7 linked regions of the Oryctolagus cuniculus genome follow. The protein of the gene in region 6 binds, or shares a complex with, the protein of the main gene of each other region. Links are inferred from orthologs where the notes say so. Each region holds a gene or a part of one and is shown on either strand. Other genes may lie near its edges.

What was found.
Region 1: RUVBL1 (region 6) and SMARCA4 share a complex: the UniProt entries of both Homo sapiens proteins name them as parts of the BAF53 complex. The link is inferred for Oryctolagus cuniculus from reciprocal best matches to the Homo sapiens genes RUVBL1 and SMARCA4.
Region 2: RUVBL1 (region 6) and MORF4L2 share a complex: the UniProt entries of both Homo sapiens proteins name them as parts of the nuA4 histone acetyltransferase complex. The link is inferred for Oryctolagus cuniculus from reciprocal best matches to the Homo sapiens genes RUVBL1 and MORF4L2.
Region 3: RUVBL1 (region 6) and ASDURF share a complex: the UniProt entries of both Homo sapiens proteins name them as parts of the PAQosome complex. The link is inferred for Oryctolagus cuniculus from reciprocal best matches to the Homo sapiens genes RUVBL1 and ASDURF.
Region 4: the proteins of RUVBL1 (region 6) and ACTR6 are in contact, whole or in part, in a cryo-EM structure (PDB 6IGM), measured with the Homo sapiens proteins. The link is inferred for Oryctolagus cuniculus from reciprocal best matches to the Homo sapiens genes RUVBL1 and ACTR6. Residues at the interface, in NP_003698.1 of Homo sapiens: Lys162, Thr163, Ala164, Lys165, Gly166, Thr167, Tyr209; in NP_071941.1 of Homo sapiens: Tyr217, Tyr300, Arg338, Cys339, Leu340, Thr341, Pro342, Thr343.
Region 5: the proteins of RUVBL1 (region 6) and VPS72 are in contact, whole or in part, in a cryo-EM structure (PDB 9CA9), measured with the Homo sapiens proteins. The link is inferred for Oryctolagus cuniculus from reciprocal best matches to the Homo sapiens genes RUVBL1 and VPS72. Residues at the interface, in NP_003698.1 of Homo sapiens: Thr136, Leu138, Pro140, Glu142, Met147, Tyr150, Gly151, Lys152, Thr153, Ile154, Ser155, His156, Val157, Asp173, Pro174, Phe177, Glu178, Gln181, Ala187, Gly188, Arg205, Thr208, Tyr209, Ala210, Thr211, Glu212, Phe213; in NP_005988.1 of Homo sapiens: Ile212, His215, Arg263, Thr264, Phe265, Ile266, Thr267, Phe268, Ser269, Asp271, Phe274, Trp277, Phe278, Gln280, Gly281, Arg282, Pro283, Pro284, Lys285, Val286, Pro287, Arg289, Glu290, Ala299, Leu300, Tyr301, Arg302, Pro309.
Region 7: RUVBL1 (region 6) and BRD8 share a complex: the UniProt entries of both Homo sapiens proteins name them as parts of the nuA4-related complex. The link is inferred for Oryctolagus cuniculus from reciprocal best matches to the Homo sapiens genes RUVBL1 and BRD8.

The regions. Positions count from the first base shown.
Region 1 is NC_091447.1:66,607,134-66,610,994, forward strand, and holds part of SMARCA4 (transcription activator BRG1), read right to left. Parts: intron 2,732-3,861; coding exon 2,565-2,731; intron 205-2,564; coding exon 41-204; intron 1-40. UniProt on the Homo sapiens protein: ATPase involved in transcriptional activation and repression of select genes by chromatin remodeling (alteration of DNA-nucleosome topology).
Region 2 is NC_091453.1:89,766,392-89,770,771, forward strand, and holds the start of MORF4L2 (mortality factor 4-like protein 2), read left to right. Parts: upstream 1-1,271; 5' UTR 1,272-1,384; intron 1,385-2,468; 5' UTR 2,469-2,506; intron 2,507-4,380. UniProt on the Homo sapiens protein: Component of the NuA4 histone acetyltransferase complex which is involved in transcriptional activation of select genes principally by acetylation of nucleosomal histone H4 and H2A.
Region 3 is NC_091434.1:50,691,594-50,696,129, reverse strand, and holds the start of ASDURF (ASNSD1 upstream open reading frame protein), read left to right. Parts: upstream 1-1,577; 5' UTR 1,578-1,775; coding exon 1,776-1,865; intron 1,866-3,320; coding exon 3,321-3,374; intron 3,375-4,403; coding exon 4,404-4,479; intron 4,480-4,536.
Region 4 is NC_091442.1:103,144,264-103,147,614, reverse strand, and holds the end of ACTR6 (actin-related protein 6), read right to left. Parts: exon of another isoform or gene 1,359-3,351; coding exon 1,229-1,358; 3' UTR 771-1,228; downstream 1-770. UniProt on the Homo sapiens protein: Required for formation and/or maintenance of proper nucleolar structure and function. Plays a dual role in the regulation of ribosomal DNA (rDNA) transcription.
Region 5 is NC_091438.1:46,923,122-46,926,982, reverse strand, and holds part of VPS72 (vacuolar protein sorting-associated protein 72 homolog), read right to left. Parts: intron 525-3,861; coding exon 372-524; intron 1-371. UniProt on the Homo sapiens protein: Deposition-and-exchange histone chaperone specific for H2AZ1, specifically chaperones H2AZ1 and deposits it into nucleosomes.
Region 6 is NC_091441.1:110,808,822-110,813,369, reverse strand, and holds the start of RUVBL1 (ruvB-like 1), read left to right. Parts: upstream 1-1,676; 5' UTR 1,677-1,786; coding exon 1,787-1,927; intron 1,928-4,548. UniProt on the Homo sapiens protein: Possesses single-stranded DNA-stimulated ATPase and ATP-dependent DNA helicase (3' to 5') activity; hexamerization is thought to be critical for ATP hydrolysis and adjacent subunits in the ring-like structure contribute to the ATPase activity.
Region 7 is NC_091437.1:25,975,741-25,979,601, reverse strand, and holds part of BRD8 (bromodomain-containing protein 8), read left to right. Parts: coding exon 1-20; intron 21-218; coding exon 219-265; intron 266-1,020; coding exon 1,021-1,235; intron 1,236-2,489; coding exon 2,490-2,582; intron 2,583-2,769; coding exon 2,770-2,838; intron 2,839-3,366; coding exon 3,367-3,544; intron 3,545-3,861. UniProt on the Homo sapiens protein: May act as a coactivator during transcriptional activation by hormone-activated nuclear receptors (NR). Isoform 2 stimulates transcriptional activation by AR/DHTR, ESR1/NR3A1, RXRA/NR2B1 and THRB/ERBA2.

The sequences.
Region 1 (3,861 bases), on a different chromosome or scaffold from region 6:
ACGTGGACGCTGTTCCCTGCCCCCGGCCCCGCGCCCGCACCTGGTGGGGGTTCCAGTCGCTGTCGAAGATGATCACAGTGTCCGCCGACTGCAGGTTGAGCCCCAGGCCCCCGGCGCGGGTGCTGAGCAGGAAGATGAAGTACTCGGAGCCGGGCTCATTGAAGGTCTTCAGCAGCATGCCCCGGTCCTCCGCCTTGGTGGTTCCTGCCGGCACAGGACCACAGCTCAGCAGGCAGGAGAGACACACAGCCCCGGCTACACCCGCTCTGTGTGGGCCACCAGCGAGTGCCCACCTCCTTCCCCCAGGGCAGGAGAGACACACAGCCCTGGCGACGCCCTCTCCGTGTGGCCACCAGCGGGTGCCCACCTCCTTACCCCAGGGCAGGGAGAGACACACAGCCCCGGCTATGCCCTTTCTGTGGGCCACCAGTGGGTGCCCCCCTCCTTCCCCCAGGGCAGGAGAGACACACAGCCCCGGCTACGCCCTCTCTGTGTGGGCCACCAGCAGGTGCCCACCTCCTTCCCCCAGGGCAGGAGAGACACACAGCCCCGGCTACGCCCTGTGGGCCACCAGTGGGTGCCCACCTCCTTCCCCCAGGGCAGGAGAGAGACACAGCCCCGGCTACGCCCTCTCTGTGGGCCACCAGTGGGTGCCCACCTCCTTCCCCCAGGGCAGGAGAGACACACAGCCCCAGCTACGCCCTCTCCATGTGGCCACCAGCGGGTGCCCACCTCCTTCCCCCAGGCCCTGGCTGACACCATGTAACACAGAGAACTAAAGGAAGGGCTGCAGCACAGGCCACGGCCGCCATCGGCCTGATACCTCCTGTGGCACCAGCTTAGGTGCCAACACCACTGTCCCCCAAGACACAGGAGGGCCCCTGGGGCGGGCAGACAGTGACAGAGGACTGCACTGCAGGCCAGGGGCTGGCAGATTCCACCACATCACGGAGAGAAGCCTTTTGAGCAGGACTGGGGAGCCATTTCAGTGCGAGGGCCATTTGCACACACATCACTCGCGGGCCACACAAAATGAGCAGCTGGAAAGTCAGCCTGCGTGAATGTGCTGAATTTCAAGTCCTGCCTGCGGTGGCCCTGGCAGGGCCAGACCGAACGATCTCACAGGCCGCAGAGCCAGGATCCCAGGAGCCTTACAGGGGACTCTCGTCCCAGGGCGAGGAGGGCAGCGCAGGCAGAGGAGCCAGTGAGGGCCCCTACGGGAGGGGCTGCAATGCTGAGAGGAAGAGCAATGCCATCCTGGCCTGCAGGCCCACCCCTCCCCAGCCCCTCCCACTCGCCCCACAATCACCGAGCTCCCCCCACCTCCCTGGCTCTTTGAACAGACCTTCAGTGCCTGTGGCCACGACCCCCAGGCACTCCAGGTGCAGGCTGAGCCCTCAGCCTCCCGGAGCGCGCGGGGAGAACACTGGGCCAGGAGGGGTGCCTTGGCTGAGGGGGTGTGGTTTCAGCTTAAGGAGCAGGAGCCCCAGGAGGACAGACACGTGCTCTGTGCAGGTGGCCCTGCAGCGAGTCCCAGGAAGGGCTGAGAGCTGGGCGCACACACGGGGCACACTCTTGGTGGGCGCCTGCGGAGGTGGGCGGCCTGGCCAGCCCAGCCCATGAAATAACGCCACTGCCCACACAAGACACAGCACAGCGAGCAGAGGGAGCCGGGAGGTCTGGGCTTCCTCGGCCTTGCTGGTCCCCGCAGGTCCCAAGCTCCGTCTCTGGGTCACCTCACTTAACCCCTCTGGCTGACACAGGGTGGGGAATGCACTCCATAGCCTTCCTGACCGGCGTGGTGCTGACCACATGGCCCAGGTGCCCACTGGGCCCCTCACCAGGCCTCCTACCCAAAGTCCCGTGTGCTCAGGCCATAGGGCCAGAAACACGCACTGATTTGTCCTGTGAAGGGACACGGCACATGGGGCTAGGCGACAGCAAGTGCAGGGCTGACTCCAGCTCCCGGGCTGGCCTGAGGCAGGGCCACGGCCCCCCCGGCTGCTGTAAAGACCACAGAGGTGGGCACACGGCTCAGAGCCCCAGACCACAGCAGGAAAGAGGGCAGGGCGGCCTCTGCTGCGCTCCCTGAGCAGGTGCGGGGGGCTGGGAAGGCAGCTGCAGGGTCAGGCCACGATGGAGGATTGTGGGCGCCTGCTGCAGGTCGAGCTGCACTTGGGACACCTGCCTCGCACACCACAGTGCCAGAGTTCAAGTCCCAGCTCGGCTCCTGGGCCGCTTCCCACTAACACACAACGGGGGAGAGCTGGACTCAGTTCCCAGCTTTGGCCTGGCCCAGACTCAGCTGTGATGGGCATCTGGAGAGCGAACCAGCGATGACAGCTCCTAGGCTGTGTCTGCCTCTCAAATAAAAAAGGGCGTGTGTGTGTGTGTGTGGGAAGCCCCTCCCACGTGACCTGCACCCCTGGGCACAGCTGTGCCGGAGCAAGTGCACCCCACCCCGGGGTCTCCGTCCTGAGTGTACCCATGCATCTGGGCCCATGGCGCCTGGCCTGCAGGCCTGCCTGCCGCTGCGCTCGGCCCCGCCCAGCCCCGGGCCGCACCGTCGAGCCTGAGGTACTTGAAGCCGCGGTAGGCGAAGTAGTCCTCCATGATGGTCATGAGGGACGTCATCTGGCAGAAGAGCAGCACCTTATGGCTGGTGGCGCGCAGCTTCGGGAGGATCCTGTCCAGCAGCTCGAACTTCCCCGAGGCGCGGTACAGGTCCAGCCTGGCACGCGGGGAAGACACGGTGAGCGACCGACGGCCCCAGCGCCCAGCAGCCTGTCTGCCCAAAGGGCACAGGGCAGCTTCCTCGGCCCAAGTAAACAAGGTCAGGCCACCAGGGGCCGAGGGCACACCGCCAGGGCGACCACACACGTGGCACCCGCCCTGACACCTCTAGGGACACCAGGGGAAGCAAGGCGGGACAGCAGCTGTCTACACCCCGGGAAGGCGGGCCCAGTCTGCCTTGTCCTCGGAGCAGCCCAGGCGCGAAGGTGCACACCTGGTGCGTGCCACAACTTGCCAGCCTGGGGGCCCGGGGCCCCCGGCCCCTCTCAGTCACTGCGGCCCAGCAGCCCTGGCTCACAGATCCGGAAGCTGAGGCGGGCAGAGGGGCCAGGACCGAGTGGGAAGTGGGGTCTTGTGATGCCCTGTGGTGCGGGGAACACATCCAGGGACAGCCCTGCCCCGTGTGAGGTGACGATGGCTTTAGGTAGGACGTTTCGAGGGGCAGGTATCTGGAGCCACACCCACATGGGAGTGCCTGAGTCCAAGCCCAGGCCCTACTCCCGATCCCAGCTCCCCACGCACCCCACCCTGGGAGGCAGCAGCGATGGCTCAAGAGGCCGGGTCCCTGCCGCCCACAAAGACCAGGATGGAGTTTCCGGTCTTTACCTGGCCAAGCCCCAGGTGTTGTGCGTGCTTGGAAAATAAACCAACAGATGGGAAATCTGGCTCTCTGGCTTTAAAAATAAATTTAAATAAAATGGCCGGCGCCGCAGCTCACTAGGCTAATCCTCCGCCTAGCGGCGCCGGCACACCAGGTTCTAGTCCCGGTCGGGGCGCCGGATTCTGTCCCGGTTGCCCCTCTTCCAGGCCAGCTCTCTGCTGTGGCCAGGGAGTGCAGTGGAGGATGGCCCAAGTGCTTGGGCCCTGCACCCCATGGGAGACCAGGAAAAGCACCTGGCTCCTGCCATAGGATCAGCGCGGTGCGCCGCCCGCAACGCGCTGGCCGCGGCGGCCATTGGAGGGTGAACCAACGGCAAAGGAAGACCTTTCTCTCTGTCTCTCTCACTGTCCACTCTGCCTGTCCAAAAAAAAAAAAAAAAAATTTAAATAAAATGTTTTGAGGCCAGT
Region 2 (4,380 bases), on a different chromosome or scaffold from region 6:
AAGTCCTGGCTGCTCCACTTCCAATCCAGCTCCCTGCTAATGCACACAGGAGGGCAACAGAGGATGTCCCAAGACTTTGGGCCCCTGTACCCATGTGGGAGGCCTGAAGGAAGCTCCTGGCTCCTGGCTTCAGCCTGGCTCAGCACTGACAGTGGCAGCCATCTAGGGAGTGAACCAGCAGATGCAAGATCTCTCTCTGCCTCTCCCTCTCTGTCTGTAAGCCCTTCTGCCTTTCAAATAAATAAATAAATCTTTAACAACAACAACAACAACAACAAAACTCTATACCATCTGTAACTGTCACAGGTAAGCCATTTAACCAGTCAAGGGATGTTACAAGTGTATTATTCGGCTAGTATTCTAAGAGGACCTTGCTGTTTGAGAACAGACTAAACTGAAGGACAGCCATGACAAAGGAATATAATAATTGGATATCATGTCTAGGTCTAAGACCCTCTTCAAATTATCAACCTACAGAAACACGAAATACTTGTCACCCTACCTCTCCTTACACTTACTATCAATGCCTGGCTGAGGCCTCTAGGCTTATCAGTTCTCAGTTTAATGCTAAAGACAGTCCTGACCATCAAAGGACAAGAATGCTTGGGACCACTGGTCACAGCAACACATTTGGTATCTTGACTGCATTTAACTTTCAACACTAATTCTTCTATATAGAAATAAAGAGGTGGCCCTTTGGCTGGTGCCGTGGCTCAACAGGCTAATTCTCCGCCTAGCGGCACCGGCACACCAGGTTCTAGTCCCGGTCGGGGCGCTGGATTCTGTCCCGGTTGCCCCTCTTCCAGGTCAGCTCTCTGCTATTGCCCGGGAGCGCAGTGGAGGATGGCCCAAGTGCTTGGGCCCTGCACCCCATGGGAGACCAGGAGAAGCACCTGGCTCCTGCCTTCGGATCAGTGTGCTGCGCCAGCCGCAGCACGCTGGCCGTGGCAGCCACTGGAGGGTCAACCAACAGCAAAGGAAGACCTTTCTCTCTGTCTCTCTCTCTCTCCACTCTGCTTGTCAAAAAAAAAAAAAAAAAAAAGGTGGTCCTTTTAGAAACCTAATGAATCATGGGATTTCCCATAAGGTAAGTGGGTCAGCAGGTCACAATGTCCCAGAATTCCAGAACCTGGCATAACAGAGCTGGGAGGGCCTTCCCAGATCATTTCAGTCTTGTCGCTTCATCAGACAACATGGGGTATTGAGGGTCCGAATGGGCAAAGCCCAGACCCTACTTGTAACCTCCTTTTTCCATTAACTCATTTGTAGCTGTGAAAGGAAAAATAGAATAGAAAGGGCAAGACTAGAGAGACTAGAGTATTATCACTTATTAGCTCCAGAGGCTCACTTCTTCGACTTCCTGAACTGAGACTCAAGGCTAAAGGTAATCTTCATCAGAGGAAACTGTTCCTATAATGACTATTCAGTCCTGAACCTCTTCCTTGTCTGTCTTTTGACTGATACCCAGGTTCAATTATCATAGTCCCCATAGGAAGGGGATAGCCAAATCTTGGCAGCAGGATCATATTACAAAAATAAAATGGTCATGCCAAGCTCCACATCCTATAAATTTAGGGTTTCCTCCACTAGAGTTTCTTTGTGAATTCCTTAGACTTATACTTCCTTTAGCCCTAGCTGGTATCATCATTTCATTGACCTAAGCTGCAGGTTGGTTCTTTCAGAAAGAAGAAAATGCGGTTTCTCATTAATTATCATTTTTTCTATATTTATAATTAATTATATCTTATAATTATAATCCACTATTCTAATGAAATGTACTACACTGATTTTGGAGTTCAACCTTTCCTATCCTATTTCATTAAGATTTCAAATTCCAGGTATATAACCCTCTTCATCCAGGGCCCTCAAGAGACAAGAACAACAGATTATGGAAATGAATCCATTATCTTCTTTCTGCTACTTATGTAACCTCTCTAATATCTTAGTGGTGGATTCATGTTTAGGGTAAATGATTAAAGAGAGAGAGGAAAGGTAAAAACAAATTGCTATAGCTTTAAGATGTCACTGATTCCATCCGGATGGTATTCCTCAAGCAAGAAATATCCAGTGAGGACTGCAGCTACAAAATTGTCTCCATTTCCTCCCTTTGTCTTTCTGTGGGGTACGGGTGGGTGCACACTGCCTCTATGACATCTTCCAACCAAATGAACAATTTTACATGTGGACATAAGCACATTTGGCCATAATGTCAAAATTCTGGTTTGAAGAACCAATAAGCAAATTTCTTCTGTTTTTAGAGGAGGGGTTGGGGAGGGGAAGAATCAGGAAGGGAGAGTACATGAGTCCACAAGATAATGAGAAGGCTAGGGTTTGGGGAAAGCTAAGGTTAGAACTATCTGGGTTTTGCTTGATTATTCATTTTGCTTTGTGTTTTCAGAAGTCAGTGTTCTCTCATGAGTTCTTCCTCTCAAAATTGAAAACTTTTAATGTTTTCCCTTCGCATATAGGTGGAGGACCAGTCCTTGAGACCAGCTTTCACCTGCAGGTGCGTCATCTCCCTTGGATTCATTCACAAATTATGGTGGAGTAGCTACCACAATAGGAACTGTGCTAAACACACAGTATACACAGTTAAGAAGAAACTTAGCACTTAGCCTCATAGATCTTGTATTCTAGCAGGGAAGACAGACTTGGACTAAGTTCCTGGATGATAGTGAGATGGAGAAAACGGGGTGGGGGGGTGTTGTGGAAATACGTAAGAGGGACACTGACCTACTCGTGGCCCAAGTTGGGGAGGGAATGTCTAGAAAGGCTTCCCTGAGGCAGACACATTTCAGATGTGACCTGAAAGAAAAGGAAGAAGCAAAGCAGCAGGAAGGACCAAGGAGACAAAGGAGAAGGAAAGTGCGAAGTGTAACAGAGCTTTGAAGAGGGAAGTGGTATAAAAGATTCTCATCTGAAAAAAAAAATCTGACCGCAGTGTGGAGAACAGATTGTAGGGAAACCACAGTAGGTCAGCAGGTGAAAACAGTGGTGTCTTGCAAGGAGGCGTGTCACAGGTGCTGAGGGAACAGAAAGCAAAAGCACTTAACTAGAGGCTGGGCATCAGGGAAGGGCTCCGTAAGGAAGTAACATTCCAAGTGAGACTTGCAGGCTGGGTTCGCCATGGTGAGGGAAGTGAGGGAGTGAGGAGTGAAGAGAGGCCCGGACACTAACCTTCTCCTTTAACCAAAGCAGGTCTCATTTTCACTAAGGACCTCGTCCTGGTCTGGAATGCCTGGTACCTTTTCTTCCTAGCCAAACAGTGCCTATGTTTCTACAGCCCTCCCCAGTGCCAGGTCCACTGATGACACCCCAATACGACTTACTGTTCCTGCTTATAAATTTCTATTCCATACGTATTGCTAAGCATTAAAGATCTACTATTCAGGGTAGTTACTTAACTTCACACAGATTCACATGTAAGCTACTTGGATTTGCAAACTCTTTTCTATTACTTTAGCATCATCCAGGGTATCTAGCACAATGAGGGACTGTGTGACACAGTCATTGAATGAATGAATGAATGAATGAGGCACTAGAGTCTCTGCAGACCTCCTTTAGATATTCACTATTATCCGTGAAGCTAATAGGAAAGGGATGTACTTTGTGTAAAAGATTCCTACAACTTGCATGCGAAGACCTGAGATCTGAAATTGACTATTCCTTCCCACTGGTCACTGCTTCTCACCCCCTTGCAATCCTGGTCCCCACCCCGCCCCCCCAACCTTCTATTGTTTCTTCTGTCTTCTGGTTGTCAGCCAGGATGAGAAAATGGTCAAGCTGTCCTCAGAGACTTACGCCAGCCTGGGCTGCTCTGCAGTGCCATGAAGGGCCAGGACTTTTGTTTACAGCTGGGAGCATGGCGAGGCGGTGAGCACAGCTGACAGCCCCACTCTGGGGCAAACATCAATCTTCCTCTGTCCTCTCAGCCAAGTCTCACAGACCAGCTTTATTGAAAGCTGGCTGCACCCGCCTGGGCTCACTGATGTCCCACCCACAACTCGAGCCTGGGAGTAGCTGGGTGAATCTCAGCTTTGTACCTTTTAGGAACTGCCCTTGCTCTCCTCTCTGTCCCTGTTTGCAAATCGGCTTATCTCAACCTCTGGGCCTCGAAAGAGCATGTTCTGAGGACCTCTTGCCCTAAACAGTGCCCCTCCTCTCCAACCATATCTGCTATCTCCCAACAATGTACCAAAGCTCTCATTTGCTCAATTACACAGTAAAAACACAACCGCCACCAAACCCAGAACTAAACCACACAGCTTTCAATGTATACTCTTTGGAATCTGTCTTTCCAAGCTGAGCGGCCATATTGCAGGTTTTTGAAAGTGTGTGCATATGTGTGTGTGTGTTTTCTTCGCCTTCAGATGGATTTCC
Region 3 (4,536 bases), on a different chromosome or scaffold from region 6:
AAGACAGTAGAAGATGGCCCAAGTCCTTGGGCCCCTGCACCCGCATGGGCGACCTAGAAGAAGCTCCTGGCTCCTGGCTTCAGATCGGCACAGCTATGTCTGTCGCAGTCATGTCATGTGGGGAGTGAACCAGCGGGTGGAAGACCTCTCTCTCGCTCTCTCTCATTCTCTCCACCCCCTGCCTCTCTGTAATTCTGCCTTTCAAATAAATAAATAAATCTTTATAAAAAATACCCATTCTATGGCAAATAAAAACAGGGGCCTGCGCCGTGGCTCACTTGGTTAATCCTCTGCCTCGCAGCGCCGGCATCCCATATGGACACCAGATTCTGTCCCAGTTGCTCCTCTTCCAGTCCAGCTCTCTGCTGTGGCCTGGGAGGGCAGTGGAGGATGGCCCAAGTGCTTGGGCTCCTGCACCCTCATGGGAGACCAGGAAGAAGGCTCCTGGCTTCGGATTGGCACACCACCGGCCATGGTGGCCATTTGGGGAGTTAACCAACAGAAGAAGGACCTTTTCTCTGTCTCTCTCACTGTCTATAATTCTACCTGTCAAAGAAATTAAAAAAAAATAAAGAAGCCTGTTCTAAATTTCAGATAGACAGATACATGGAGAAACATAAAAATTTACCAGTCCAGACCTCATATAACTTTTCTTACTAGAAGACCCGATGAAAGATATGCTAGGGCTTAAAAAAAGCCACCAAGTACATCTATTAAGTCACACAATTTGTCTACATCTCATAAGTGCACTTAAGCATCTCCATAGAACATCGTGATTCCCAACACTGGAATATAATTTTCAAATATGTGGTCTCATATGCAAATATAAAATAAACACATATCATGGTTTTATTTAACTCATTAGTAAATGAGGAAACCAGTCAGATATGAAAATCAATTCAAAGAGCATTTGAAAAGCAAGGAATTTATCAGTCAAGAAATGTCAGACAGGACCTCAGTGTTACATACATAACTGATTAATGTCTTCCAGATAATAAATCATAACCTTGGAAGTATCTTATTGACCTAGTAGAAATTATTAGCATTTTTACCAGTCAAAAATCCACACGTTTGCCTCTGCTTTTGTCCCCTGCCTGCACCAGGTTGTAAAACAGTTCAGTTCATTGAAAGTCAATCCTAGAACAGCACTGAAAGAACATCAGGTAATCTCTTGCCTATTTCCAACTTTTGGTCATTTTTTTTTTTGCAAGAATGAGACATTACAAATATTGCATAGGATGTACACTAATAAAAGTATTCATTCACCTGAAATTCGTATAAAATTGTATTTAGCTGAAAACCCTAGTTACAAATTAACAAAAACTTTTCCAATTCTGTAGGGTTCGGTTGCCAACATTGTGTCTATGAAATCTGTGCTTTAGTTCAGGATCTGACTGGTTAATAACTAATTGGTGTTTCTACTGCGCGTCTGTTCTTTATTTGCACCAATAGGGGGCGCGTGTAACTTGTAGTCCAAGAGCCCACAAAAGTGTTTCTACCTCCGATCCGCTGGGGGTCGGCGTATGAATTGCTTAGATTTCGCAACCGGGCTCGAAACACTGGCGCTCTAGGCATTTGTGCGCATGCGTAGAACCGCTCTTGGCGAGGGGGCGGGGGCGTCAGGCCCGGACTGCGCAGGCGTTGGAGTGAGCGCGCGGAGGAGGTTGGTGAGACCTCTGCAAGGCAGGTGACGCTGCCGGCGCTGTGGCTGGGGCGGTCGGTGGTGGGACTCTCGGGAGCTCTGGTGAATCCTGCGTGTCTGCGGCTGGTTGGAGATGCCCGGCCGGGGCGTGCACCCGGAGGACAGCGCTGTGCCGGTCCCCGCCGGCGGCCGGACCTTACACAAGGAGGATCTTTGCAACAAGGTGGGCGTGGGACGCAGCGAGCAGGCCTCCCGGGCTTAGGACCCGGCGCCTGGGGCAACCCAGAGAGGGCCGGCCGCGAGCAGCGCGGGGCTTCGCTGGAGACGGCCTCGGCTTGCGCTGCTCTGCTGTTGGTAGCAGTCGGCACTTCCCCTTCCCTGGAAGTAGTCGCGCTAAGCGTCTTGTGGGCTGAGTTTCCGCGGCCCTTCCAGATCTGTAGCTCACCCCTTCCGTTACCCCTGCCAGCGGCATGGGCTCATCCTTGACGTCGGTCTACACCTGAAACCCACTTCCGGTACGAGTGTGACTTTAGTCCCGAGGACGCACGCTCCTGCGTCCCTGAACGAGCCGCCCTCATCGGCTGCCCCGGACCCCCGCAAAGGGCTCCCTAGCCCACCTGCTGCCTTCTCTGTTCCCCGCTGTAGCCGCAGTGGCCGCCCTAAACCTCGCACATCTGATTGTCACTCATCTGCGGAGAAAGAGGGGGAGGGGAGCCACTCTGATACTGACCTGAACTGCCGGAAACAGGTGCAACCTTTAAACGTGTGGAGGAGGGAGTTCAATGTCCTGCATTCTTCACTGGTTCTGCTCCAAGCTAGTAGTGGTGTCTTGGACAGACCTCTCTGTTCTCTCTGCATCACAGCTTCCTTCTTTGGTGGGAAGTGAAATACAGACCTGACATCCCTAAACTGCACAAGAAAGCACTGTGGTACAAGCGTTAAGTCTCAAAGAGGGGGAGGGTATAGTTTCAACCTTGGAAGTCAGCCTTATCCTGTCCCTTCTGCAGCTGTGTCAGCTCTGGAGACAACAAGGGGGAGACTCATGGGGCAGGGAGTGAATTTGCAAAATACAGCCCACTCTGCTGCCGACCTATGGCAGATCCCTCAAGTGTGTGGTGCAGTGTAAAAATCTTACATCTGGTTTTAGAGGCGCTGGTGATGTTAGGTAATAGATCGTGTTCATAAAATAGCCAGTTACTAGAAAGTATCAGAAAGTTTGCACTTACTTGAGTTCTCTCCTGAAATTGAAAAGTGAAGCCAGCACTGTGCAAAGAAGATTGATGCCAAGACAGGGGGATTTAGAACTACTTGGTTAAAAGGACTGTCTAGCCGCACCATTTAGTACACAAATCGTCAGAGACTGGTATTACTTCTGGTGCATATCGTCTGTTTGTATAGGCCTTGTTCAGTAACTGTGGCCACAGGCATGAAGGCCGGTTGCCAACATCAAACCCACTGGCTGGGCTCCGTGGGTTGTGTGACATTTAGATGTCTAATGCCCATTTCCCCCTCCACCTGTGCACACATAGACTGGAAAGAATCTTCTCAGACTGCCCATTTGGACAATCAGCGCATGATACCTTCTTACGCCATCTGCCTAATTTTAAAGCCGTCATCTAATTGAACATGTTTTTAAGAGTTAAAATTCTGTTTTAAGCGTTTCTCTTTATTTCAGTAGATTAAAGAACAAAAAGTCGTTGTGGATGAACTTTCTAACCTGAAGAAGAACAGGGTGAGTTATAGAAATTCTGAATAGTATGTGGGAAGCTTGGTTATATTTATATTATATAAAATCATAAAAGTTGTATGGAAGGTTTATATAAAGGTTGACAAGTTTTCGGCATCTCTTTAAATTGCAAAAGCCCAGTGCCTACGTTTATTTTAAACTGTACGTACATAGATCTCATAAAGCTGAAGATGTCTCTTCCTTTTCATATGCCATTTACACGACCTTTAAAGCTAATGACGCAGATTGGATTTTGGTATCTTCAAGCTGTACCACTAATGTAACTATTTTATGCTTGAATTTGGTGTGTATTTTTGAAATAAATGAACTTAAAGTTTATTGAGAAGAAACTATCCCTTAAAGTAAATGTTGAACAAAAAATTACTTCTCTCACCGCCCCCCCAAAATCTTCTCAGTGCTTAGCATTATTTTTAAATGCAATTTCTGTGTATATATTCATAAGCAAGCCATCTTTGTTGCTTCATGTGTAGTTATACATTAAACTACATTAAAATTACATTTTAATGTTCAGGAGTAAATGACTTTGAGCTCTTTCAAGCGCCTAAAGATTATAACTGACAGATTAGACATTTCTGATATTGTTGCCAGCTACAAAGATGTCCATCACAACACTGATCTATAATACTTGAGGGACAGTAATACCTTAAATGTCTAACATTTGAGGATTGAGCAAATAAATGTAGTATGTCATACGATGATATTATAAAGGAATACATATTGATAAGAAAAAGTGTTCTTGATATAGTCATTGTAAAACTATAGATGATAGTAGAAGCCTTTTTTATTAAAATAACAGTGGTATTATGGTTTACAAGGGAAAAAAACAAGTTTCACCTCACTGGTAATGATAATAGTGTCTGGGTGGCAGGATGGTTGGTAACTTTTATTTGTCTCTTTGTTATCTGTATTTACTAAAGTAAATTCCCAAAGTTTACAAGTATGTAGTAGTAGGATTCAAAGATTTGACATCTTTTTAGATCATATCTTGAGTTTGGCCTAAATTCTGTTTTGCAGAGAGTATACAGGCAACAGCAGAACAGCAATATATTCTTCCTGGCAGACCGCACAGAGATGCTCTCTGAAAGCAAGAGTAAGTTGGGTTCCTCTTTGTTTTCAGACTTTACATGAGGGGTGGGGAACATCAGCC
Region 4 (3,351 bases), on a different chromosome or scaffold from region 6:
GAGCCTCAGTTCCTATAACCAAGATTCCTGCATTTTCCTGGCTTGTATCCTTCATAAAGCTGTTAGGTTAGCTTTTCCTTAGATTTTATTTTTTCTGTCCTGATGATGCCTTTTATTTTGAGGAAAATAGTCAAATGAGTATCTACTCCACTAATGTCACTGTCAGGTGTTTCCTTACATCACAAAGCTGTTCTTTAATAACTTAAAAATTTGTTTACCTAAGAGTTTGTAAAATAATTGCTAACATTTGTATTGAATTTTTGAACTGAGTTACTTCAAATAAAGCAGTATAGTACTTTTATGAGTGAAATAATACATTTCTGCCAACATAGCAGTGATCAAAAAGTCTTTAGTAGTGGGGCTGCTGTTGTGGCGTGGCAGATAAACCTGTTGCCTGTGATGCTGGTTCGTGTCCTGGCTGCTCCAGTTCTAATCCAGCTCCCTAATAATGGCTTGGGATAAGCAGTGGAAGATGGCCCAAGTGTTTGGGCCCCTGCCACTCACATGAGACCCAGATGAAGCTCCTGGCTGTAGCCTGGCTCAGCCTTGGCAATTGCAGCCATCTAGGGAATAAACCAGTAGATGGAAGCTCGCTCTCTCTCTCTCTCTCTCTCTCTCTCTATATATATATATATATATATATATATCAGTCTTCTTCTCTTTCTGTAACTCTGACCTTCAAATAAATAAATAAAAAATTTTTAAAAGTCTTTAGTAAATAGGCTTTGGTCTCCACTCATTCATTCTAAGTGAAAAATAAACATTACACATAGTCTTTCCAACTTTATTATGTATAAATACAAATAATGATTTTTAAATAAAATACTTGGATCTATGAGAGAGAAATCATATTATCCCGTAAACACTTTGGCCAACTCCTAGTAAAGTAATGAAAAATTACCTACTAAGTAAAACAGACCAATGAAAAAGTTTAGTGTATGCTCCTGGCAATGAAGAATTAGACTTAAAAAACATGCCCTCTTTCATATAACATATTCTCATAAGTATTGCATGGCAGTCCAATTTCTAAATAAAATTATGAACTAAGTTACAGATTATTGTAATAATGTAGCTAAGAAGACTGTGAAAATTAGCCATGGGTCAAAGGATTTAGTTAAGACTTTATCTTAGGGTGAAAGATAACACAGGTCCTTAACCAATTCTAAAGGAAAGTTGATAGTAAACCTTTCAGTCACAACTAGTCACGATTTTCATTCAGAAATGTTTGTTATATATCAAATTTCTCTTCACAGATACTATGTCCATTTTCTTCATAGTCTTCTCTTGTTACCACCATATCTTCAAAATCATCGTTCTCTGATATCAATTTTCCACCTTCCCAGGCATAAGTAATAGGACTGAAAGTAAACATAAAATAAATGAATCCAGATGATCTTATAGAAATCAACTGATGATTTATAGAAATTAACAAGTAAAATGATTGAAACATTAGTAATTAAAATGTGGCAAGCTCTACCCAACTTCACGGAAAATCATTTAAGGTTTAGAAATAAGTGTAAGTTTCACATGAGCAGAGAAAACTCAAAAAGAAAGATCTTGTTCACTACCACAAAATACTGTTGTTTTCCCCCTTCTGGGCCCTCTACTTCTATTACAAGAACAGGAAACAAGCAAATTATCTGAAGGTGCCTAAAAGGAAAAAGAATATTGTAACTGATACTAAAGTCTGTTTGTGGCAGAGAAACATCATCTTAATTCTCACAGTAACCCATGAAACATCTATCAGAATTCCCATTTTAGAAATTTGGAAAATGAGGTTCAGACCAGAACTGATTCGGTATGGACCAAGGGTTTAATCCAGAATTGTTTTCCAGGCTGTGCTTCTGCTGATACACTTTGTTGCTTCTAATAAGTCAAACATTTGGAAAATACAGTAAATAATAAACATTTTTTGTTGACAGGCAGAGTGGACAGAGAGAAAGGTCTTCCTTTGCCATTGGTTCACCCTCCAATGGCCGCCGCGCTGCAACCGGTACACCGCGCTGATCTGAAGGCAGGAGCCAGGTGCTTCTCCTGGTCTCCCATGGGGTGCAGGGCCCAAGCACTTGGGCCATCCTCCACTGCACTCCCGGACCATAGCAGAGAGCTGGCCTGGAAGAGGGGCAACCAGGACAGAATCCGGTGCCCCAACCGGGACTAGAACCCGGTGTGCTGGCGCCGCTAGGCGGAGGATTAGCCTATTGAGCCGTGGCGCCGGCCAATAATAAACATTTATATTGTAGGAGAAACAATAAAAAAATTAGAGTGGATAAAATATTTAGTTTGATTTTGCTATCTACAATCAAGGTTATACTTTGTATTCCTACGTATTTTTTTTTTTTTTATTTGACAGATAGTTAGACAGTGAGAGAGAAGAGACAGAGAGAAAGGTCTCTCTTGCATTGGTTCACCCCCGAAACGGCTGCTACGGCCGGAGCTACGCCAATCCGAAGCCAGGAGCCAGGGGCTTCCTCCTGGTCTCCCACGCAGGTGCAGGCGCCCAAGCACTTGGGCCATCCTCCACTACCTTCCCGGACCACAGAAGAGAGCTGGACTGGAAGAGGAGCAACTGGGACCAGAACCCGGCACCCATATGGGGTGCCGGCGCCTCAGGCAGAAGATTAACCAAGTGAGCCATGGCACCAACCCCTATACTTTGTATTTCTATGTTTCTACCATTATACTCCCCCAATTCAGAGCTTCAAATATGAAAAAGGTACAGAAAAAAAGTTAATCCACACATATTCCTTATCATGAGTAGTGCATTTCCTCATCTTTTATAAAAATACATTTATTTATATGAGGGGGCTTTATAAAATTCCTGAAAAAAAGAACTAAAAGTTAATATGCATTTTCCATGAACTGTCTGTAGACCTCTCATACATAAATATATATATTTAAAAAATATATAAGCAGTTGCACAATAAGGATTTACCGAGTGAAAGAATAAAATCTAGTTCTGTGGGTCCCTTGGCTGTAATATATGCCTGTAGAATAAACATCCAATATGCTTCTTACTCTAATTATGAGAGCTGGCATTGTGGTACAGTGATTTCAGCCACCACTTACAATGCCGGCATCCCATGAGTGCCAGTTCAAGTCCTGGCTGCTCAACTTCTGATCCAGCTCCCTGCTAATGTGCCTAGGAAAGCAGCAGAAGATGGACAAAGTATTTAGGTTCCTGCCACAATGTGAGAGACCCTTATGGAGTTCCAGGCTCCTGGCTTCAGCCTGACCTAACTGGCCATTGTGGCCATTTGGGGAGTGAACCAATGGATAGAAGACCTGCCTCTTCCCTCTCTCTCTCTGTAAGTCTGCCTTTCAAATAAATAAAATACATCTACTAAAAAA
Region 5 (3,861 bases), on a different chromosome or scaffold from region 6:
TAACAAGAGAAAACTGGCAACTCTTTACTTAGTATAGAGTTGGTCTTCTGTGTATAAAGTTATTTGGAGAATGGGACTGGGAATGGGAGAGGGAGGAGAGGTGGGAATGTTGGGGGGAAGGTGGGTATGGTGGGAAAAAAATCACTATATTCCTAAAGCTGTACTTATGAAATGCATGAAGTTTGTATTCCTTAAATAAAAGGTTTCTTTCGGAAAATAAATAAATAAATAAATTGTTGTGCACGGTTTAAAAAAAAAAGAGAGGGAGAAAACTGGCACTGTAGAAATGGGGCTGATATGGAGCGTTCTGGGCCTGATGAAGAAGAGAGTAGGAATTCAGAAAGTCCAAGGGAACCAGGAATCCCCTGCACCTTATAGGCTTTGGTAACTACTCGGCGCTTCCGCCTTGGCTCTTCGGCTTCTCCATCACTGGATGGCTCATCCCCTTCATCGATGTCAAAGTCAGAATCCACCTCGTCTTCTGTGTCTGACTGGTCCCCTTGATATTCATCATCTCCCGACTCCTGAGGACACAAGGAGGCGAGGGCTTACTGGGAGCAGACTCGTTAATGCCCCTGCACGCACGAGGAACAGAATTTCTTCACCTTCCTGATAAGGGCTGCCTCACTCTCCTTCCCAACCGAGCTATTCTTTCCTTTTAGGGGAGAAGCCTTCCTAGCCAACCTCTGGTTCTACTGGCACGCCCCTGCAACATCCACAGACAGCCCTCTACCCGCAGAACACTGTGGTAAGTACTGCGGAACAAGAGCATACGGTTTGGTTCCTACCTTCAGTGGGTTCACAGTCTAGTGAAGGACAGGACACAATCAGAAGTTTTAATACACGGCAACACATAAAGTACAACACGGCAACTATGGCAAATCAGAGGAAGGCATATTTGCTACCAGTTGGTGGTGGGAAACGGTCTAAACTTTAATCTTTTAGACCACAAATCAGGAAACTTTTTTCTATAAAGGGCCAGATTAAAACAGGTAGCACAGGAGTAGGTGTAAAGCTGCCATCTGTGATGCTGGCATCCCACATGGATACTGTTTCAAGTTCTGGCTGCTCCACTTCTGATTTAGATCCCTGCTAATGTGCCTGGGAAACCACAGGAGGATGGCCCGAGTGTTTGGACCCTTACATCCATGAGGGAGACCCAGATGAAGCTCTGGGCTTCAGCCTGGCTCAGCCCTAGTCATTGTGCCCATATGCAGAATGAACCAGTATAGATGGAAGATCTCTTCTCTCATTCTCTGTCTCTCCCTCTCTTTCTGTAACTCTTTCAAAATAAGTCTTTAAAAAACAAACAACAACAAAACAGTGGGCCAGATCTGGGGCACAGGTTTTAGTCTGGTGGATAACACTTTAGAATCCAAAAAATGAAAAACAAAAAGTTGGGACCAGCATTGTGATGTAACAGGTAAAGCCACCACCTGCAGTGCCGCCATCCCATATGGGCACTGGTTCGAGTCCTAGCTGCTCCACTTCTGATCCAGCTCTCTGCTATGGCCTGGGAAAGCAATAGAAGATTGCCCAGGTCCTTGGGCCCCTGCACGCACGTGGGAGACCCAGAAGTTCCTGGATCCTGGCTTTGGATCGGCGCAGCTCCAGCTGTTGCGGCCAACTGGGGAGTGAACCATCAAATGGAAGACCTCTCTTTCTCTCTCTCTCTGCCTCTCCTCTCTGTGTAACTCCGACTTTCAAATAAATAAATAAATCTTTTTTAAAAAATAAAGTTTTTATTTTTAAGATTTATTTATTTGAAAGTCGGAGTTACACAGAGAGAGGAGAGGCAGGGAGAGAGAGGTCTTCCATCTGCTGGTTCACTCCCCAGTTGGCCGCAACAGCTGGAACTGTGCCGATCCGAAGCCGGGAGCCAGGAGCTTATTCTGGGTCTCCCACATGGGTACAGGGTCCCAAGGACTTGGGCCATCTTCTACTGCTTTCTCAGGCCATAACAGAGAGCTGGATCAGAAGTGGAGCAGCTAGGAATTGAACTGGCGCCCATATAGGATGCTGGCACTTCAGGCCAGGGCGTTAACACGCTTCACCACAGTGCCGTACCCAAATAAATAAATCTTAAAAAACAACAACAACAACAACAACAACAACAACAGGAAGGAAGGAAGGAAGGAAGGAAGGAAGGAAGGAAGGAAGGAAGGAAGGAAAGAAGGTTGGTTGGTTGGTTTATCTCTGGCAAGAAGCCACCTTTCCACATTGACTATCCTGTAATTGTCCCACTTTGACTATAAGATTTGAAAAGAAGGTTATACTTTGTCTCTGCAGAGGTTTACAATTTCAGGATAATAAACTTTCAGTTTTAAACTGAGGGCCAGGGGCTGGCACTGTGGCACAGTGGGTTAAAGCCCTGGCCTGAGGCGCCGGCATCCCATATGGGCGCTGGTTCTAATCCCGGCTGCTCCTCTTCTGATCCAGCCCTCTGCTATGGCCTGCGATAGCAGTGGAGGATGGCCCAAGTCCTTGGGCCCCTGCACCCACATGGGAGACCTGGAAGAAGCTCCTGGCTTCAGATTGCTGTAGCTCTGGCCGTTGCAGCCATCTGGGGAGTGAATCGGCTGATAGAAGACCTCTCTCTCTGTCTCTACCTCTCTCTGTAACTGTCTTTCAAATAAATAAAATAAATCTTTTTTTTTTTTTGACAGGCAGAGTGGACAGTGAAAGAGAGATAAAGAGAGAAAGGTCTTCCTTCCTTTTCCATTGATTCACCCTCCGATGGCCGCTGTGGCCGTGTGCTGCGGCCAGCTCACCACACTCATCTGAAGCTAGGAGCCAGGTGCTTCTCCTGGTCTCCCATGCGGGTGCAGGGCCCAAGGACTTGGGCCACCTCCACTGCACTCCCAGGGCACAGCAGAGAGCTGGCCTGGAAGAGGGGCAACCAGGACAGAATCCGGCGCCCCAACCAGGACTAGAACCTGGTGTGCCGGCACCGCAGGCAGAGGATTAGCCTATTGAGCCTCGGTGCCGGCCTAAAATAAATCTTAAAAACAAAACAAAACAAAAAAAAACACCTGAGGGCCAATGATTTTCAACTACCTCCTCCTTACTTGTCCCAGCATGATAATCACTGTTGAGGTAAAGTTACTGAGAAAAATAGGTAGAAGGGTAAAAAGTACGTACAAAGTATATTTAAGAAAGTTACAGAGCTCAGTTTGATGAGCTGGAGTAGAAAATCTGAAGCGTTAGCTCTAATGTAATATACATTAGGGCTAGAATGGCAGCCACCTTGGAAAGAAAGTGGGGAAAAAGCCCAAACACTTTAGGAAAGAGGAGTCGACTGGGCTCAACACCTCAGACTTGCAGCTCTTTCTCCAATCAGTGATGCAGATTTGTCCATTAATCAACAAATGGGGGGCTGGCGCTGTGGCGTAATGGGTAAAGCTGCTGCCTGCAGTGCCGGCATCCCATTTGGGCTCTGGTTCGAGTCCTGCCTGCTCCACTTCCAATCCAGCTCTCTGCTATGGCCTGGGAAAGCAGAAGACAGCTTGAGTTCTTGGGCCCCTGTACCCATGGTGGGGGACCCAGAGGAAGCTCCTGGCTTCAGATCGGTGTAGCTCCGGCCATTCCAGCCAATTGGGGAGTGAACCAGTGGATGGAAGTCCTCTCTCTGCCTCGCCTTCTCTCTGTGTGTAACTCTGAGTTTCAAATAAATAAATAAATCTTTAAAAAAAGTCAACAAATGGTTGACACTCCAAGCCAGCCAGAATTCAATCTTGCACTCACAACTACCATTTCCTCCCCACTGATCTCTGTGAAAGACAGCCTAGGAACACATTAATCCCCTGGGCTTGACTCTAACCTGGTAGTAAGCCATCTCCAGAGAGCAATAGATCAACTTCA
Region 6 (4,548 bases):
CTCTCTGCTGTGGCCAGGGAGTGCAGTGGAGGATGGCCCAGGTCCTTGGGCCCTGCACCCCATGGGAGACCAGGAGAAGTACCTGGCTCCTGCCATCCGATCAGCGCGGTGCGCCAGCCGCGGTGGCCATTGGAGGGTGAACCAACGGCAAAGGAAGACCTTTCTCTCTGTCTCTTTCTCTCTCACTGTCCACTCTGCCTGTCAAAAAGAAAAAGAAAAAAAAAAAAAAGCCTGGCTCTAAAACTAGGCCTGGCATCTGTTCATACTGGACCTGTGCCAGGCATTTGCTGAGTTTGTAACCTTGGCCAAATCCTCTCCTCTCCTGTGGCCTCGGTTTCCTCACCTGTAATATGAAAATGCCAGGATGGATCAGTGACTTTTGACCAGGTCAATAGCATAAAAAACCAAAGCAGCTCTGGTGGAACAAGGAGTGGGTGCTGGGGTATAATGGAGGTAGTGTCCTAAATTCTCAGCCTTCCCCTTCACTACCCATTCTGGCCACAAAACGATTCTATAACTCCAGGGAGTATACTTTGAAAGCCACTGGACCAAGTGGTCCAGGAGCTTCCTCTGAGCCCTAAAAACCTCTGCATCCTCCCCTTCTTTTGGCTGCCAGGAAATCCTTCTCTTTGCTCAGTGCCAAAAGAGAGAAGAGTTTGAGGGCTTAAAATAATAAATGTAAAACCGGTCTTTCCTCCTCACTGGACAACACACACAGGTTGTTGCTACAGAGCACCTCACTTTGATATTCGTTGGTGGAAAGCCTTCCTTCCACACCCTGAAAGGAACAGTTCTTTATGCAACACTTACGACCAGGCCTGTCAATGATACGCTGAGCATCTCTGGGTGTCCTGAGGGGGTGTCTTTAGGGCTGATTAATCACACACTACCACTAACAACTTTAGCCTTCCAAGACCTGGCCCCCGTCCCTCGGGGCTCTGAAGAACGTCAGAAGCTTCCATCCCAGTGGTGCTGAATCCATTATGAAGCCGACAGGAGAGTGATGGTCTTTTCTGAGGTGCTGGGATGGGCTGAGGGTTACACGGGCTCAGTCTCCTCTGGGGTTTCCCGTTCTGCTCATCGCTGTGTGTTCCAGCGCAGGTCACTGGACCTTTTTTCATGAGCCTTTTTATCTGCGTTAGGCATTATACCACCTTACAGGGCTGTGCAACGCTATTCGCAGGCAACTTAAGCAGAGGAGGAGGGTGGAGGAGAGAAGCAGAGAAGCCAGTTCCACGGAGGATTCTGAGCGGAGCAGCGTTGGGAATGGCTGGCTGAGCGGGACCTTCGCAGGCACGTGCAAACGCTTGGGAGTTGGAAAACTTCGGAGTAACCAACCCAAAGTCAAAGCTTAAGCTCGCCTCAGTTCCTGCATGTCCAAACTGAGGCCATAACCTGAGCTCCGCGGAAAGGCGTGACGTTTAAGTATGATAATAGATTAGATGGAACGATTAAAATCCAGATTTGAAGCACCACCTCCAAACTCGCACCGTGACTTACCTTTCTGCCTTCCCGCCACCGGCCGGGGCAGGAAGTGGCGGCTCGGGGGAAATTCAACCCAGTGACACAGCCGGAAGTAAATGGGCGGGGTTCCACCGGCAATCGCGATGGACGCGGCCTTAAACCAATGGGGAACGGAGGCGTTTCCGCTTCCGCCAATAGAGCAAGGACCTGGGCGGGCCCTTGCAAACCGCCGTGGTAACAGCCGCATGGTTACCCGGGCGCCAGGCGCGCAGCTGTAGGTCCTGATTTTCCACGTTGGTTTTGGCTCCCGTCGCCTGCAAAAATGAAAATTGAGGAGGTGAAGAGCACCACGAAGACGCAGCGCATCGCCTCCCACAGCCACGTGAAGGGGCTGGGGCTGGACGAGAGCGGCTTGGCCAAGCAGGCGGCCTCAGGGCTCGTGGGCCAGGAGAACGCGCGAGAGGTGTGGCGGGCGGACCGGGGAGCTGGGGGCTCCGGCAGGGCCGCTGCGGCGCCACAGCCGCTGAAGCGGGGGCCGGGGGTCTGCCCCGCATTTCCGCAGGGCAGGGTGGGGGTGGGAGAAAGGCGACGGGCCGCGGGGAGCAGGGGGCGGTTTGTGCCAGTTCACCGACAGGTGTTGATGGCGCTCCCGGCTGCGTGCCAGGCCTCGGCTGGCGACGCCGGGATGCGGCGGGGAACAGGATAGAAAAGGTCCCTGCTTTCCCGGCGCTTACATTTCCGTGCGGTGAGCTGAGAGGATAAACGTGTGGGCCGATAAAATGACTGTGTCCTGGTAGGGGTCCTCTGTGCAGGGTTTTGTCGGCATGGCAGGGAAACTGTAGGAGTTTGAAAGCTCGCTCTGGTTCCCAGGCCCGGGAGCTGTGAGAGGAGTGATCTGATTGACCCACTCCTGCAAGCATCTTTCTTGGTCGCTCCGGTCCTGATTTTATTAAAGTGACAGGGATGCCAAGTCCATTCCCCTACAATATTGTTTTACCGGCAAAAAAATAAGGATGGGAGAGGCCGCTAGTCCACTTGCCACTGTAGTTTAAAGGGTAAAGCTGGCATTCGCACGTCCATGTGTTTCTGCCGCCCTTTCTCAGCCCCCTGCGCTCCAGGCTAAGAGCCCTGCCCTAGAGGCTAGACAGCTACAAAACCCTGCACTTTATATGAAGTGAAGACATGCCTCTCAGCCCGATGCTGCTCATGGAAAGGGCCAAAGACAAGCCCCTGGTTTCTGTTTTGAGCATCATCTTTCCAGTAGGGAAACGTCTGACCCTGACTCAACAAAGCACCTGTTACTGCAAGCAGCTAGCATGGATTGGGCCAAGCACCATGCTAAGCAGCTGTGTTCCCACTGTCTTGTTATTCACTTGCAGTCTAATAATTTTGCTCCCCCACTCTAGTACTGTATTCCTCAACGTAGGAAATGTTGGCTCGTTCAGTAGATATCTGCCCAAAAATCTACAATTAATATTTTTGCCATTGCTTTGTCACGCATCTATTCATCTATCCAGCTGCCAGTCCACTTTGACATTTCAGAGTAGATGGCAAACATCCATACAGCTCACCCCTAAACCCTTTAGGGCCGATGAGGTTATGTGGGCTAAGGTCCCCGTGCTGGTGGGCGGTAGAGCCAGGAGTTAAACTCAGGTCTGTGTGGCTGCAGAATCCACGCTCCGAACTCTGATGCTGTGTTTCTCAGGCCCACCTTTGCTGCCAGGTTCTTGTATGGGGCTGGTGGTGTCGGCAGCCTCTCTGGCGCTCAGTGTGCTCGTCTGAGAGCCAACATGGACTCTAAGGCCTGTTCGGTTCTTTTTCGATGTCAGGGTTCACCGTGTGTCTCACTGCAGGGAAGCTGGAGGGTAAACTGAAGGAGAATACATGGAAGAGGTTCTGTCTGTAAGAGAGTTACAAGTGCAAAGTTTGGAAAGCCGTCTCCGCCTTATTTTGAGTTTCCCAGGAGCTCCAGTGCTGAGGATCATATGAAGACTATATGGGAGACCACAGCAAGTCTCCATCCTTTTTAGCAATATAGCATCTGAAGAATACCTAATAGGCTCTGTAACGGGCACTCTGCTCATTGAAGCAGCAGTGAATCTAGCACGTGCACACACAGTCCTTGCACACACGTTTTAGGGGCTGCTATAGTGTGTGACTGAGGTACTTCACAGTCCACAAGGAATAGAGAGAGCAAACGCGTTCACAAGATCTTGTCAGTAGGGAACAGTATGACCACTGCCTTCCTTCAGGCAAGGAGAAGGTACCTTTTAGGTTTTGTATCAGTTATTAATTCAAGGGAACAAAGCTTATATTATGTGATCCTGGGATGTGGGTCCTCAGTACTGTGACTTTCTCATCCTTACACCTTTGTGTCAAATATTCTACAGTGTCTGAGGACTGGTAACCCATTTGTGTGTGTGTGTGTGTGTGTGTGTAGAATACACTGACAGGGAATTGAATACTTTAATCTTGGGGATTCAGAAGGCATCGGTGGATCTAGTGGTGCCACAGATTTACCCTCACGTCCAGTGTTGGCTTTGCACAGTTCACTGATGGCCATCTAGGTGCTGGTATCAGGGATTGTTTTTGTTTTATAAGATTTATTGTATTTATTTGAAAGAGTTACAGAGAGAGGTAAAAGAGATCTTCCATCCACTGGTTCACTCCCCAAATGGCCACAACGGCCAGGGCTGAGCTGATCCAAAGCCAGGAGCCAGGAACTTGTTCCGGGTCTTCCACGTGGGTGCAGGGGCCCAAGGACTTGAGCCATCTTCTGCTGTTTTCCGAGGCACATTAGCAGGGAGCAGGACCAGAAGTCGAGCAGCTGGGACTCAAACTGGTACCTATATGAGATGCCAGCACTGCAGGCCGGGGCTTTAATCTGCTGCACCTCGGCACTGGCCCCAGTATCATTGATGCTGAACCTTTAGTGGGTTAGTTGGGAATCTGATGAGAGCTATTAATCTGCCTCTTGGAAAAAATGTGCATAAGGACATATAGATAGAATTTTGTTTCTCTTTTCAGGTGCTGTGTGGGCCCCTGGAGTTTCTCTCTGTATTCTAGGCTAAAAATCACTGCCCC
Region 7 (3,861 bases), on a different chromosome or scaffold from region 6:
ACACAAATTTGAAATGTCAGGTAAATAAAGACCAGGAAACCTGTACTCTGTGACTAACTTGAAATCATTTGCTTTGGCTTCTAAGGGATTGTGGGTTGTGGGCAAGTACAGGAAGTAGAATAGGTCAGCATGGAAAGGAGAGCTGCAGGGGATTACGGTCCATAGTAGGGGAAGGCTAAGGTGGAAAAATCTTCAGGTAGTCTTTCTCTCCTCTGCAGACTCATTGAAAGAAGAATCAGGGGCTATTTTTGGAAGCCAGATAAAGGTATTTCAGATTTTTCTTTATTCCTCTTGCCATGTGATAGATTTCCCTATAGCACTCCCTTTTTTAATGAATTTCAGTAAACTCACAGCTTTATTCTCTGAGATGAGACTGGTAAGGAGTTGCATGGGGAAAAGCTGTAGTGGACAGTCAGGCATATGGGAGTACATATAATTACTGCACGTGCTACCCATCTGAACATTACATGGTTATTTTCTTGGCATGAAGTATACAAAGAAGCTCTGATGCACCCCAAGTGATTTGGAGTCAATAGGAATACTAGAGCCAGGAAGAAACTATAGAAAATCAGATTTTTTTAGACTATTCAAAGAGAATCATCTGAAGTTTTTATTTTAGAGTTACTAGAGCAGTAATAAAAAAGATTTGAAGTAATGCGATGTGAGCTTGCTCCATCAAATGAGACACGAAGTAAAAACTATTTTTGATAACTTTGTACCCAGGGTCAGAGTTCCTCTCAAGAGCAAGGGGAAAGAAGGAACGCCTCTTAGCTTAGTCTTAAGTAAGTAGCTTTTTTTTTTTCTTCCTTTTAAAAAGATCCTGGATTTTATTCTTTGTCCAGGTTCTAGATTACTTTATTTAGTCAGTGTCTGCTAAGTAGATGGTAGTATGAGTGATAGAGGGCTCAAAGTGTGAGGCCATTTCTAGAGTTGATCTAACCCAAAAGACAGACCATGTTTAATGATGCTTTGCTGGATAGCTTTACGTGCATTTGTTGACCGGAGCACACTGTGTCTAAGGATGCCCCAGGTGAGGATGAGGAAGAAGATGGGGTCAGTGAAGCAGCCAGCCTAGAGGAGCCTAAGGAAGAAGATCAAGGAGAAGGCTATTTGTCAGAAATGGATAATGAACCCCCTGTGAGCGAGAGTGATGATGGCTTTAGCATACACAATGCTACACTGCAGTCACATACACTGGCCGACTCCATCCCCAGCAGCCCTGCTTCTTCACAGTTGTGAGTATTAGAGATTTCTTTGTTTGAGTCCAAGGCAGTCAAGGTGAGAAGTAGGAGAAAATCTTTCCTTTATTTCTTTTTTAATTTTTATTTTTTAATTTTTTTTTTGACAGGCAGAGTGGACAGTGGGAGAGAGAGACAGAGAGAAAGGTCTTCTTTTTGCCATTGGTTCACCCTCCAATGGCCGCCGCGGCCGGCGTGCTGTGGCCGGCGCACTGCACTGATCCGATGGCAGGAGCCAGGTACCTATCCTGGTCTCCCATGGGGTGCAGGGCCCAAGCACTTGGGCCATCCTCCACTGCACTCCCTGGCCACAGCAGAGAGCTGGCCTGGAAGAGGGGCAACCGGGACAGAATCCGGCGCCTCGACTGGGACTAGAACCTGGTGTGCCGGCGCCGCAAGGCGGAGGATTAGCCTAGTGAGCCGCAGCGCCGGCCACTCCGCCTTTCAAATCAATAAAATAAAATAAAATAAAAAAACAGTAAGACTAAAGAAAAGATTTTTGGCCAGCGCCGCAGCTCACTAGGCTAATCCTCCGCCTTGCGGCGCCAGCACACCAGGTTCTAGTCCCGGTCGGGGTGCTGGATTCTGTCCCGGTTGCCCCTCTTCCAGGCCAGCTCTCTGCTGTGGCCCGGGAGTGCAGTGGAGGATGGCCCAAGTGCTTGGGCCCTGCACCCCATGGGAGACCAGGAGAAGCACGTGGCTCCTGGCTTTGGATCAGTGCGGTGCGCCGGCTGCGGCGGCCATTGGAGGGTGAACCAACGGCAAAGGAAGACCTTTTTCTCCGTCTCTCTCTCTCTCTCACTGTCGAATCTGCCTGTCAAAAAAAAAAAAGAAAAGAAAAGAAAAGAAAAGAAAGGCGGAGTGATAGAGGGAGAGAGATATCTTTGATCCTCTGGTTAACTTCCCAAATGTGGCAACAGGTGGGGCTGAGCCAGGCTGAATCCAGGTGCCAGTAACTTCATCCCAGTCTCCCACATGGGTGCAGGGGCCCAAGTACTTGGGCCATTTGCTGCTTTCCCTCCCTGGAGCATTACCAGGCTCAGCAGTGGAGTAGCCAAGACTCGAACTGGCACCCATATGGTTGCCAGTGTTGCAGGTGGTAGCTTAACCTGCTATGCCACATGCCAGCCCCCTTTTCTTTAATCTTATTTTCTCATCTTCCTATTCTTGGCCTGGAAGAAATAACTGACATGAAATAATTAGGGCTTTTTTTTCTTTCACCTTGCCTACTGATCTGTGTGTCTATTTCAGTTCTGTCTGTAGTGAGGATCAAGAAGCTATTCAGGCACAGAAAATATGGAAGAAAGCCATCATGCTTGTGTGGAGAGCGGCAGCTAATCATAGGTGAGTGGCTTTACCCATCAGTAGGTTCATTCCCTCCTGGTCCTCCTCTTTGTAGATGAAAAGAAAGCAGTCTAAGTAGGCTTCTGTGGGACTGTTGGTGGTGTCTCTACCTACCTTTAGCTACTTGATCTAAGTTCCTTCCCATGTGCATCTGTTTAGTAATTGCATGTTAATTATTTTCGGACAGATATGCGAATGTCTTCTTACAGCCTGTTACAGATGACATAGCACCTGGTTATCACAGCATTGTACAGAGGTAAGCCATGCTCTGCTGACTTGCCTGAATTATAAATTGTCCAGTCTTAGTGAATTTTTACTTTAGATCTAAGTACAAAGGTAGATGTTGTGGCATAGTCTGTTAAACTGCTGCTTGAGACACCCGTATCGCGCATATTGCAGTGCTGGTTTGAGTCCCATTCTTCCGCTTCCAATCCAGCTTACTGCTGATGCACCTGGGAGGCAGTGGATGATGGCCCACGTACTTGGACTCTTGCCATCCATGTGGGAGACCTGGGTGGAGTTCCTGGCTCCTGGCATTGGCCTGGGCTGTCCCCAGCTGTTGTGGGCAATTGTGGAGTGAACCAGTGGATGCAAGATTTCTCTCTCTGTCTTAAGTGCATGTTTTGGAGTGGGGGCTTGGCATTTGTGTCCTAGCAGCTAATAATGAAGGAATAAGGTATATGTAAGAAAGTTTATCATGTATTATCATGTTTATCATTTATTCAGAGATCAGGTGAGTCCTTTTCCCACTTCTGCTGCTCTTTACTCCTCTTCATTTTTTTAGGCCTATGGATTTATCAACTATTAAGAAAAACATTGAAAATGGACTGATTCGCAGCACAGCTGAATTTCAGCGTGACATTATGCTGATGTTTCAGAATGCTGTGATGTACAATAGCTCAGACCACGATGTCTATCACATGGCAGTGGAGATGCAGCGAGATGTATTGGAACAGATCCAGGTACTTCACGAATCCTTTGTGTTTTGGGAAGAATGAAGTGAAAATTCTCAAGGAAAGGTGCTGTGGCTTTTATTCGGAATAGCCACTGGGGACATAGTTAGAATATTTTGGTTCATACTGAACTCAGGTTGATTTTCCCTGGTTTGATGAAAGAGTTATGATAGAATACCTTTCTTGGGCAAATAGCTTAAGCTCCCTGAAGTTTTTTAATAAAATTTTCTGTAAGTAGTAAATACATGTTTTTAAATTTTTTGAAGTAGTAATACATAACAGACACTCAACAAGAGTTTTTCTTTTTTCTTTTTCCTTAATGTTTG